Ovis aries: one gene and its partners. The protein of the gene in region 1 purifies or fractionates together with the protein of each later gene. This does not show direct contact. Links are inferred from orthologs where the notes say so. Each region holds a gene or a part of one and is shown in the gene's direction. Other genes may lie near its edges. The genes, in order: TTC1, VAPB and VAPA.

Region 1 (3,651 bases):
TCCAGGTCACTTTGTCTATTTGGGATTGAAATAACTTTTAACTGGATTCATTATGGGGTTTTCTTTGCTTCCAGCATAGAATTCCCTTTCTTATATGGAGGAAACTCCCCTTGTTGAGTGCTGGTCAGTCCCCCTGTTCACTCTGTTCACTTGACAGCCAAGGCATGTGACTATGCTTGGCTCATACCAAAACTTTAAATCTAAATTAGGACAAAAAAGGGGGAATGGTTAGGGTCTGTTGGCTGTTATTACAGCCCTATCTTGGCGAGACTCTTCTCCTAGAAGACACATCAATATTTTTTAGCTTTTTGACTTCAGAATTGCCTTGAGTCCTGTCTGTCTTATAAGTCCATATTTTAGGCCTCCCCATGATTGTGTGAGCCCCATGGTAGCTTTCCAGTAAACTTAAGCCCTTAAAAAAATTTTTTTTTCTTTTTTGCCCGAGATAGACAGTCCTTTTGCTTGCCTCCAGAAATCCTAACCGGGCTTCCCAAATGACTCAGTGGTAAAAAAAAAAAATAATAATCTGCCTGCCAGTACAGGGAGACGTGAGTTTGATCCCTGGGTCGGGAAGATTTCCAGGAGGAGAAAGTGGCAACCCACCCCAGTATCCTTGCCTGGGCAATACCATGAACAGAGGAGCCTGGCAGGCTGCTGTCCATGGGTTCACAAAAGAGTCAGACGTGACTTAGTGACTAAACAACAAAAAATCCTCACCAGTTCAACAGAGGATATTACAGTTCAGGCACCTTCCTCTGGGTGGTAGTAGGTAAATGTGGCCACATTTTTGTATTTTGATTGTCATCACCACTACCCATCTTATATTTTCCTGTATTCCCTTGGAATAGGCCTTCTTCAGATATGTTATATCCTAAAATGAATTATTATTGTCTGCTGAACATCTGGCCTATAATAGATGTCGTAAAAATTAGATTCTGTTTATACCTATTTCTTAGTTTCTTTATTGAGATTCATCAAGTGTTCTGTTTCTTTCAGAGTATCGTAATAAGGTATTTGCAAAGCACCCAGATCTCAGCAGCTCATTTACAGATCTTCTCCAGAAGCATTATATTTTTTAAATTTGGTTCAGGATGTTGCTTGTACTGTCGATGAAAAAGTCTGCTAATTTTGTGTTCTCCCATTGGAGTTTTTATTGAGTCAGAAACTTCAAGAATGAAGGAAGAGATTTTTGGAGATTCTCTTTTGTTTAAATGCTGTCAAAGGTGGCATGCTAGCTCTGCTTATGCCGGCCAACTTGCCAAGGTGTTCAGGGCTGAGAGCACATAGGGGCTCGGCACGTGTCTTTTTTGCCCCACAGACTAACATTCACTCTACCTTTGAGTCCCATGAGTGCCCTACCATCTGCATGAATTTCTGTTGATAGAAGAGGCTAGGAAAAGAGACTTCTGGGTTTCTCAAATTTCCCTGTGTTAGCCTGCTAACAGCATACCACCTGACCCTGCAAACAAGACTCATCCCCCATAGTACACTCTGCCAGCCTCTGTATGCCTGCTTATGACACAGAGTGCAGTTGTAGCTAAATAAGTATGACATTGTTTATTTTACAGAAAAATAATAGCTAATTTTTGAACCCTTATTCACCAGTGTATTGGAAGCTTTGCATACATATCACGTTAACCCATAAATCTATTAGCTTTAATTTTTATATGAAGAAATTAACACCCAGAAAGATCTGAAACTTGTCCAAGGTCATCTGCAATTAATAAGTAGCAGATCTAGAATTTTAATTTATAAAGGTAAGCATACCAGTGGGTCTATTAGTTTCATTTTTAGTAAGTGGAAATTACTGTTCCATGCAAAAGCCAGAAACAAAGAAAACCTGGGTTTTGTCTTTTTAGTGTCAAGAATTCACTTGATGTTTAGCCAGATGGTCGTGTGTTTTTTTTCTGTGTGTTTGAGATTTAGATAAAACTGACCCAGTTCTCAAAAGTCAAGCTGCTGGCTGTTGAATAGCCTAGTGTAATGAAAGCTGGCCTTTCTGTTCACTTATCATAATACTGTATTTATGTCATTCTCTGATCTTTTTCAGAGAAGGAGAGAAGAGAGCTCTAGACTAAAGGAGGAGGGAAATGAGCAGTTTAAGAAGGGAGGTAAGATGTGTTTTTCAGCGCTGATGCTGGCTGTCTTGACTCCTCATTCTTTTGTAGAGTCTGTGAAGAAACACTGAAGAATGTTTGGAAACAGCTAGCAGATCTGAACTGCTAACAGTACTGAAGAACAAAGCTCTCTGAGTTTTTGTTTTGGGAAACTAATCCAGAATGTTAAAAGGCTGTTTGCCGCATTGCTGTAAAAAGAGGGTCTCAGTTCCTCACTTAGTGACAGTGCTGTGAATACTGGCCCCGTGCGGCCTGTGCTGCCTCGAGAAGGGTTTTGCTTACACTTCAGTTGCTCTTTCAAGTTCCTTTTTCTATAGATGCCTTAACTAGAGAGATGGTCCTAATGCATTTCTTGTATTTGCTTAGGGATAATTGAGGTTCATTTTTATGATTTGGGGGAACTATCTGATCTTATTATCAAATTTGTCACGTCTCATTTTGCTTTGGATATCTAGGAGCAGTAACATCTTCCCTTTGTTACTTTTAGGTTAAAAAAAATTTTTTTTTCGTGTATCCTGATCTATCAATTGTCACTTCTTTTTTTAAGAGAACTAAAGATTCTTTGAAAGTTTTATCTCTTTATATTTTAATATTAAATATTTCAAACCTGAGAAAGGAGTGAGTAGGCAATTATCTTTTAGTATCCTAACTAATTCTGTATGTGGCAATGAATGTATGAGTTTATCACCATTTTCTCTCTAAGGTGTTTAGTCAACTAGTGGTTTCTAACATAGTTTCTTTTAGCTCTATAAAATGTCTCTCCAGACACTTCATGGAAGCATTTTTAGCCTGGTTGACTCCATGAAAGCAGAATATCTTTAATGAAAAATAGAGAGAGTTTTTTTCTTCATTCTGGGCTGTTAATTCCAGATTTTAGTCTCTCATCTGTCCAGTTTCCTAATCCCGTTTCAAAACTCTTTACTAAATTGATAAGCCAAGTGAAAGGTGAATGTATAGAATGGAAAGCTATACATCCTGAGGTCATTTGGAATACAGTAATATCAGGAATAAAATCATAACAACTTCTTATATTTTCCCTTATCCTCAGATTACATAGAAGCCGAAAGTTCTTATACTCGTGCCCTGCAGACGTGTCCCTCCTGTTTCCAGAAAGACCGGTCTGTTCTGTTTTCCAACAGAGCTGCAGCAAGGATGAAACAGGTATGTCTTGGACCCTGTCTTTTTCAGAAGCACATGAATTTGCACTTTTTTTGTAGGATAGCTTCTCCCCGGAAACAAGCATAGGGGCTTTAAAGTTGCTGCCTCTCTTTTCCTACACCTATATTTTGCTGATTTAAAGGGCGTGGGAAGGATAGAAGCATAATTTTGAAAAACTTAAGTCAGATTACTGTTCATATTCCTTATTAAAAAGTGGCTGAGTGAATACTTTCACAGAAGGAAGCCTGGCACAGTTTCTACCAAACCAGGGTAGGTTAATGAATCAAACAGCCAAGTAGTACATGTCCTAGCATAGCTCCAGCTGCTTACTCCAGGCCTCTGGAACTTTAGATAAGACTCAAAGGGACAGGAAGCC
Region 2 (3,651 bases), on another chromosome or scaffold:
ATAATATCCTGATTATTGAATTTAAATTGTTTTAGTGGAAGGAGGCAAAACCGGAAGACCTTATGGATTCAAAACTTAGATGTGTGTTTGAATTGCCAGCAGAAAATGATAAACCAGTAAGTATGTTTATAGTTAACAATAATTGAATGTTGCAAGCTGATACTTATTTGCATACCATCTCCTGCAAAACCAAGATTTAAGTTGGCAAATTATTTTCCTTCTTCTGATGTATGAAGAGAAAAATTCGCTGAAGTCAACAAATAAGTGGGCCTTTGTGAAATCTGCCTTTGAAAGATTCACAGAAAGAACTCATTGAAATTTTTTTTGCCTTTGAAAAGCACAACCTGTTGACTGTTGAAATGTCATAAATTCCGAAGAGCTTCTTTGACTTGGGCAAAGTTCTAGGTTGCTATTATATTTAACAGTGGGAAAGACGGTGAGCGCTCAGCTCCTCTTGTACAGTGCTGTCTGCAGGCTTCCCTGTCTGCATTTCTCCTGAGCACCAACTCTCCACCTCTTGAACCCCAGATTCTCTTCAGTCAAAATGTGCTTTTAGATGAGGATTTCTCACCCTTAGCCCTGCTGACTTTCGGGCCAGGAGTCCTTCGCTATGGTGCTGTCCTGTGCCTTGCAGGGTGTGTTGTGGCATCCTTGACCTCACCCCAGTAGCATCCCTGGTCGTGATGACCTGAAGCGTCTCTGGATGTTGCCAGGTATGCCCTTCCCGAGGCAGAGTCAGTTCCCGTTGAGAATCACCCTTTTTGCTGCCTGAGCACTGAGGGTAAGGAGTGACTCCCTCCCAGCTGCTGGCTCACTTTTCTCTGTGTGAAACCAAAGCATGAGCCCGGTTGGCATGAACCTCCCTTCACCCTAGTCAAAAAACTTAAACTGTGTTAACACAGTTTAAAACCCATGCAGAGTATTAAACCACCCTGGCTGTTAATAGCTGGTGGTGGGAATAGAAATGTTCAAACTCTCAACGTTATCCATAACAATCTCCAGGAATGCTGATGCTTTGTGTCAAAACTACTTAGCATTTTTTTTCTGCTCACTAATGGACCACCGTCACTATCCCATTTCTTCGAATGATTGGTGGTCTTCGTTCCTTTTTTCCCTTCCCTCTTCCCACAGCATGTTCTGTCAGTTGTGGATAGTTGAGGACTGTATTCTGGCCCCAGCTGTGCTCTTGGAGGTTAGCTCTGTGTGTTGAGGTCTTGCTTGCCAGGGCCTCACTCCTCTCCCCTGGGAGACTAAGGGTAGAGCTCGCTGTTCTCCGTTTGCTGCATGGACCCCCAAGGGCTTCCATGCTTCCCCGGCCCCCACATACTCACTCATCCCCAGTAGGTCTTCAGAGGGGATCACAGCGCAGTCGTGGCTGGGGAAGTGAGGAACACATTGCCTCCCCAGGATGAAATACCATAGACACTGAATTTGTTGCACCTTCATCCCATCGCTGCAGTTGTCTTAAGTTCAGGAGACAAATCACCCTCTGGGTTACGTCCCCTCTGGCCTTCTGCCCCCGCCCAGCCAGTTTGGGGGATGTTCGCGTCTTCATAGTGACTTGTGGCTGATGATTCCTGAGCTTGTGCAGCTATGCTCTGCTGATTTTTCATGGCAGGAATTTGATAGTGCAGTGCGCACAGCCCCTTTTCTCTTTCTTTGAAGTATTAGTCTCAGCCGGACTTCATTATTTGCCCTCATCCATAATTTCTGGAGCCCAGTTTTAGATTATGAAGATACTAGGTGATAAAGTGATCTGTTTTAAAAAAATGTGACATTGTACAGTTTGGATGAAACGCTACCCTGGGTGGTGTCTGCTGAGACCTACTTTACTTTGCATGAAGAAGTCCTTTAATACGTGGTTGGTGACACTTGGGCTTTCATTTATTTCTGAACAGCATGATGTAGAAATAAATAAAATTATACCCACAACTACATCAAAGACAGAAACACCAACGGTGTCTAAAGCTCTGAGTTCCTCCTTGGATGACACTGAAGTTAAGAAGGTGATGGAAGAGTGTAAGAGGCTGCAGAGCGAAGTCCAGAGGCTGCGGGAGGAGAACAAGCAGTTCAAGGTAATGGCATTTTGTTTCCTGATCGTCTTCAGGGAATTGGGGCTTTGCTACTATGGTCTTGGGTGAGGAGGTTGATGCAATTTGTGGAGTTGTCTTGTATTTGCACGTTTTTCCTCCAGGCTGAAGTTTCCTAAGGTTCTCAAAACAATCCCTGGACACATGCCTACGTGCATCCCAAAGTAAGAACCAGTGTCCCTTGAGCAGTATTTTTTCAACTATTTAAACTCCTGTCTCCTCATAAAATGACAACAGACAAATAAAAAATCCATTAGTGTAAATTGAAATTAAAAAAACAACAATGGTTATCTTGAGTTCACATTTTCAAGCCCCTTTTCCATCCCCATTGGATGAGAATCTTTTTGAAGAGAGTAAAGACTGACGTGTATTCTGTTTTAAGGCAATCATCATTCTGATTTTTGAATATCCTAAATAGGTCTAGCAGTGGGGTCTCATCCTCTATCAGTATGGTCCGGAGACTGGAGCTGGGATGCTGTCACATCCATGGGGGAGATTACAGGGAACCAGGGGCTCCAGCTTGTGGCCCTGGACCTGGCGAGTGGCCTGGCGCTGGGGGGTGAGGTCGCACTGGTGCTGGAGCGAGGCAGGTGTGCTCCTCTTGGCTTTGGAGGCCTGCGGTAGTGTGGAAATGACCAGCCAAACTTGGACTCACTGTGTAACTTTGTCCATCACAGCGGCTTCTGGCCTCTGTTTGCAAGACCCTGTTAAGGCCCTTCCAGTGTTGAAAGTATGCCTTTCATACACAGGGTTAAAGAGAGTGTTTCTGAACATCTGATTGTAGGATCTTTTGTTGCAGCTTAAGTCTTGAGGCTGATCTGTTCTTTTCATCTTGATCATGTCCCCAGCCACCATAGACTGTCACTCCCTGACTGCGTAGCACCAGGTACACACCATAAATTCACTGCAGGTGACTCTTCCTTCTGTTACTCTGATGAGGTAGGAGACATGGGGGGCCAACGGGGTTTAGAAAGTGGCATCCTTGTCTTTCTCTGCAGTAATCATGCTTTGCCTCATTCAGTGACTGCTGTTGGTATGGAGTAAATTATGAGGCTGACACTCTACTTTTGGCTAAAAGTCTAAGATACGCCTAAAGCTTCTTCTTGAATGTATTTCTCTTCTTTGCCATTTAAAGTGATAAATAGGTGGAAATAGCTTCTATATAAACCCAATAAAATAAATGCTGTACTTTGCTGTGCCCATTTTTTTTTTTTTTGAAGTTAATCGAATAGCACCAGTCATTTATCAGCATGCAGCAATATTGGCCATGCCCCTCAAGCAAAGTGTCTTTAAAATATTATCAGACCAGTCTTGACATTAGAAGATTCTTTATCTTGCCAAACAAGGATTTCTTGTTTTGTGTTGTTTCATACTTTCATTTGGCCACACATTTGCTAAGACCCTCCTGTGTGCCCAGCACTGTGGGATACAGACGTGGGTGGTCCCTGCCCTTAAAATAAGCCCCAGGGTAGCCGGGGAGACACAAATACTGAACCAGTCCCACAGAGGTGGCCATGAGTGTTGTGAGGGGTGGGCTTAAGGTGCTGGCTGCCTCTTGTCA
Region 3 (3,651 bases), on another chromosome or scaffold:
AAGGTGCTAGTATAGTGGTTGAGTCCATTTTTTTTTTGTTGTTGTTTATCGTTTAAGGAAGTCATTTTTGTGATGAAACAGTCATAATGTATTTGAACCATCATTAGAATATGGGCTTCTTTTTGGGAAATAGGTCTCTGATTTGGATCGTACATAGAATGGCCTAGGAGTCGAAGAAACCTTTCATTTTAGAATGAAAAGAGGTCCTGTTACTAACACTTTCTGGGCAGCTCTGCCTTTAGGTACTGAGACTTGTGGCCCCCAGTCCTCGGGGCTGTGAGCATGTTGTTGGTGCGTTTTAGTAAGTTCATGGCAAGCGCAGTTCTCTGAGTTATTAACTCTTGTTAGTTACGATTATCTCTGTATTATGAAATCTGACGTCCAGTTAGTGTTCGTGGTTTTTTTAGAATGAGTGTGGTTTCAAATTAACTTGTTAGTAATGGTATTTGATCACTTACTCAATTCTGTTGAAATAAAATTTTTTTGTGTTTTTTTTAGGCCACCAACTCTACTTGACATTTTCCAAATTTTAAAAAAGTATTACATTTCATTTATAAGCCCTCCATTTAACATCTGTTAATGACTTTTGCTTTATGATATAATGTTATTTTCAAGGAAAAAATACTTATCGTAATGAAGAATGAAGGGCAGTCAAGAAAGGGAACCTTAGGGGTCCTGTGTATAAAGATTTTCTGTGATTACGTGTGCATTATTTTCTGTTGAGATAAAGAACAGATTGACAGCAGTGCATTATCAGATAAGATGGAGAGGTCTTATCATAGTTATGTTTAGTGACCTGGATATCAGTAAGTATTATTTGATCTGCTACAACATTTTTTATGGTATTATCTTTAAGTGTGTTAAAGGAATTTGAGAAGATAGAGAACTGTGGAGATACAGTGGTGTACTAGAATGTTCTGTGTGTCTGTGTCTTGATCCTGGGAGGTAGGTAGGGGGGTGTGTGCGCATGTTTGTGTTTGTGGGAGGGGTGTCTGTGCTGAATACAGAAGTGTATAAATTATTGTAATTTTTGAACCCTTGAAAAAATTCATTTAATTTAAACATTATTCGAGTGTTTTCAAAGGTAAGAAAATGGAAGTGCTTGTTCTTCAGGTATTGACAAGTATTCATTAGTAACAAAAATTAGGAGCCATGCAGGTAGAAGGTCCTCATTCTAGGACACCATGAGGCTGGCCTAAGGTTAATAAGGTTTATACATTTAGTTTAGTGAATGTAATGCAAGATGATTGTAGCTAATTCATAGAAAAAAAACTTCAAAAAGGTAGTTTTTGCTCTAACATAACTATTATTTATTACTATTTCTTATGTGTGACACATCTTTATAGAATAAGTTGAATGTTGAGAGCCTAATGATCTCTGTGTTAGTCATCCCCAGTCCCTCGCAGGAGTGGTCAGAGCTCGGTGTGAATCTGAGACTGTGTTTCCCCTGCACCTCAGGGTCTCGCTCCTCCAGGGCCCGCCGTGGCCGTCGCTCCGCTGAGCAGCATCAACAGCACAGGCACAGCACCTACCACTTATAGTGCGAAGAATGAGCCCAGGGGCTTCAGTGTGTTCAAACAGGAGAAGCAGAAGGTTTGTTTCAGGGAGCTGACAGATAGACGGGTCTGCCAGTGTCACTGATCACGGTGACATAGTCACTGAGCACGTGCGAGGTATTTATTGTGAGTGTTTTATGTGCAGTAACTAGAACTGAAAATTTCAGCTGTTTAAAATGACAGCAGAACCACAGTCACTTAAAAACCATGCATACAAATTCTTCTGTTTAAACAGCAAACACAGCACTCGATAACATCCCAGTCGTGAGCAGAACAGTGTAAATGGGAGCATTATTATGAAATGGGCGGCTTTTTCACTGTCACTGAGAGGTTTGGGGAGCATCTTCTGGGAAAAATCTGACGGGGGCAGCAGGTGTCAGTCAAGGGGGAGGAGCTGGTGGATGTCACTCTCCAGGCAGGTGTTTATGTTTATACATAAGAAAGATCAATGAGATTTCTGCCTTACATCTTCTGTCCCATGCAGCTGACAGTCACTGTCTTTAATTGTCTGTGCCCCCCAGGGAGAATGGTAGCAGGAGCCCTACAGATCTGAGGTCACATTTGAGTTTATTAGTGTCTCCGTGTGTGTGCCTGTGTGTATGCTTGTGTGCACCTAACATCCATTGAGTCACTGTCGATGACCTTGACCTCCTGGGGGTGTCCTGGATGCTGTAGGCTGCCTCTCTTTCACACGTCCTGCTTCTGGGGAGCTCTAGCTTTCAGAGAACATGGACACTAAGGCTTCAAAAACCTACTCCTTTCTCTAAAGGCCTGATACTTCTAACAGTTTTGTGATTTTAGTTTAGACTGCAGATGTATTGATACTTTGGTCACTTTATATTCAAACACCGCCTCCTCTCAGCTGAGGTCTTATTTGAGCCTCCTGCGGTTCTCTGGGCTTTGCCCTTTACCCTCTGCACATGCCCTGGACCCCTCACTCCCCCAAGAGCCACGAGTGTTGCCCCGGTGTGCGTTCTTTCCCTCCTCTGTCCGTCCCAGGGCTTCAGTGCAGAAACCAAATTTGCCTTTTATCTCACCTTTCCTTTTCTGGCAGCCCCTAAGCCCTTGCTTTTTCTAATTATCCCTAAAGGGAATAATTCAGAGTATTGGAACTGAAATTCTAAAGGAGGCTTTCTAAAAAGTACAGCAGTAAACTCATCTCCTAGGTGGAGGGGCTTGCTGCTGATAGGCTGAGTCATGTGGAGCAGGGCAGCGTGGCCTTGACTGCCGAGTCTCTTCCGAGTTGCCGTGTTAGATGTGCGCAGCGTCACTGCTCCTTGACTGCTCGGTGTCACAGCTTGTTGAATGCCTCCAGTTGGTGTCCATGGCTCTTAGAAGAACCTGTCTCCTCTTTGGGAAGCGTCTGAAGCAACTTTGGAGGAGGGACCATGCAGTGGAGCCTGTAGTTAGGTCCCAGCAGCCTTGGGGTCTCCAGCTTGTCCTGCACCAGTGACGCCCCCACTCAGCCCTTCTTTAGCCACCCCGAGTTAGGTTCTGTATGCTTCCACTATAAAGTAGTTGATGAGTAAATTGGATTTCCTTGCCCCTGCTGTGTGTGCCAACTGGTTTGCAGGGACCTGAATGCTTGTGAGCACAGGGTGTGTATGCACTCACTCAGTGTGACCATCTCATGACCTGTTGGGCTCACTTCTGACAAGTGTTAGGCTTCACTGTTATCCTGTGCATCCTAGTCTTAACGTGTATGCACCACAGATTGGTCATGACATTTCTTTTCCTTTTCCTTATAAAGGCAATATAACTATATTAAGGAAAATTTTCACTTAAAAGATCTCATTCTGTCACTGTGAGATGCTGTTAGTTGACGTGGTATTTAAAATCCCAGAGTGGTAGCTTCCCATCAGATGTTAATAAGAGTGAAATGTTTAAGTAACTTAGGTAAGGCACAGAATAGTATTTAGTGACATCATGTCGTTTAGAATGACACTTAAAAGATGTACATATAAATGAATAAAGAAAGATTTAAAAGTTACATGTATGCTGAGTTTATAAAACATGCATATGAAAGAATATTGGAAGATAATATGGGAATAATAGTTATGTTGAATTAATGAGAGAATGGGAGGTAATTTCCTCT

The links.
Region 2: the proteins of TTC1 (region 1) and VAPB purify together in Homo sapiens (affinity purification with mass spectrometry; 4 studies listed by BioGRID and IntAct, counting the BioPlex papers as one, with this or other methods). This does not show direct contact. The link is inferred for Ovis aries from reciprocal best matches to the Homo sapiens genes TTC1 and VAPB.
Region 3: the proteins of TTC1 (region 1) and VAPA purify together in Homo sapiens (affinity purification with mass spectrometry; 5 studies listed by BioGRID and IntAct, counting the BioPlex papers as one, with this or other methods). This does not show direct contact. The link is inferred for Ovis aries from reciprocal best matches to the Homo sapiens genes TTC1 and VAPA.

What each region holds. Positions count from the first base shown.
Region 1 is NC_056058.1:69,207,105-69,210,755, forward strand, and holds part of TTC1 (tetratricopeptide repeat protein 1), read left to right. Parts: intron 1-2,050; coding exon 2,051-2,111; intron 2,112-3,165; coding exon 3,166-3,278; intron 3,279-3,651.
Region 2 is NC_056066.1:57,609,317-57,612,967, reverse strand, and holds part of VAPB (vesicle-associated membrane protein-associated protein B/C), read left to right. Parts: intron 1-35; coding exon 36-116; intron 117-1,898; coding exon 1,899-2,075; intron 2,076-3,651. UniProt on the Homo sapiens protein: Endoplasmic reticulum (ER)-anchored protein that mediates the formation of contact sites between the ER and endosomes via interaction with FFAT motif-containing proteins such as STARD3 or WDR44.
Region 3 is NC_056076.1:42,436,393-42,440,043, forward strand, and holds part of VAPA (vesicle-associated membrane protein-associated protein A), read left to right. Parts: intron 1-1,458; coding exon 1,459-1,593; intron 1,594-3,651. UniProt on the Homo sapiens protein: Endoplasmic reticulum (ER)-anchored protein that mediates the formation of contact sites between the ER and endosomes via interaction with FFAT motif-containing proteins such as STARD3 or WDR44.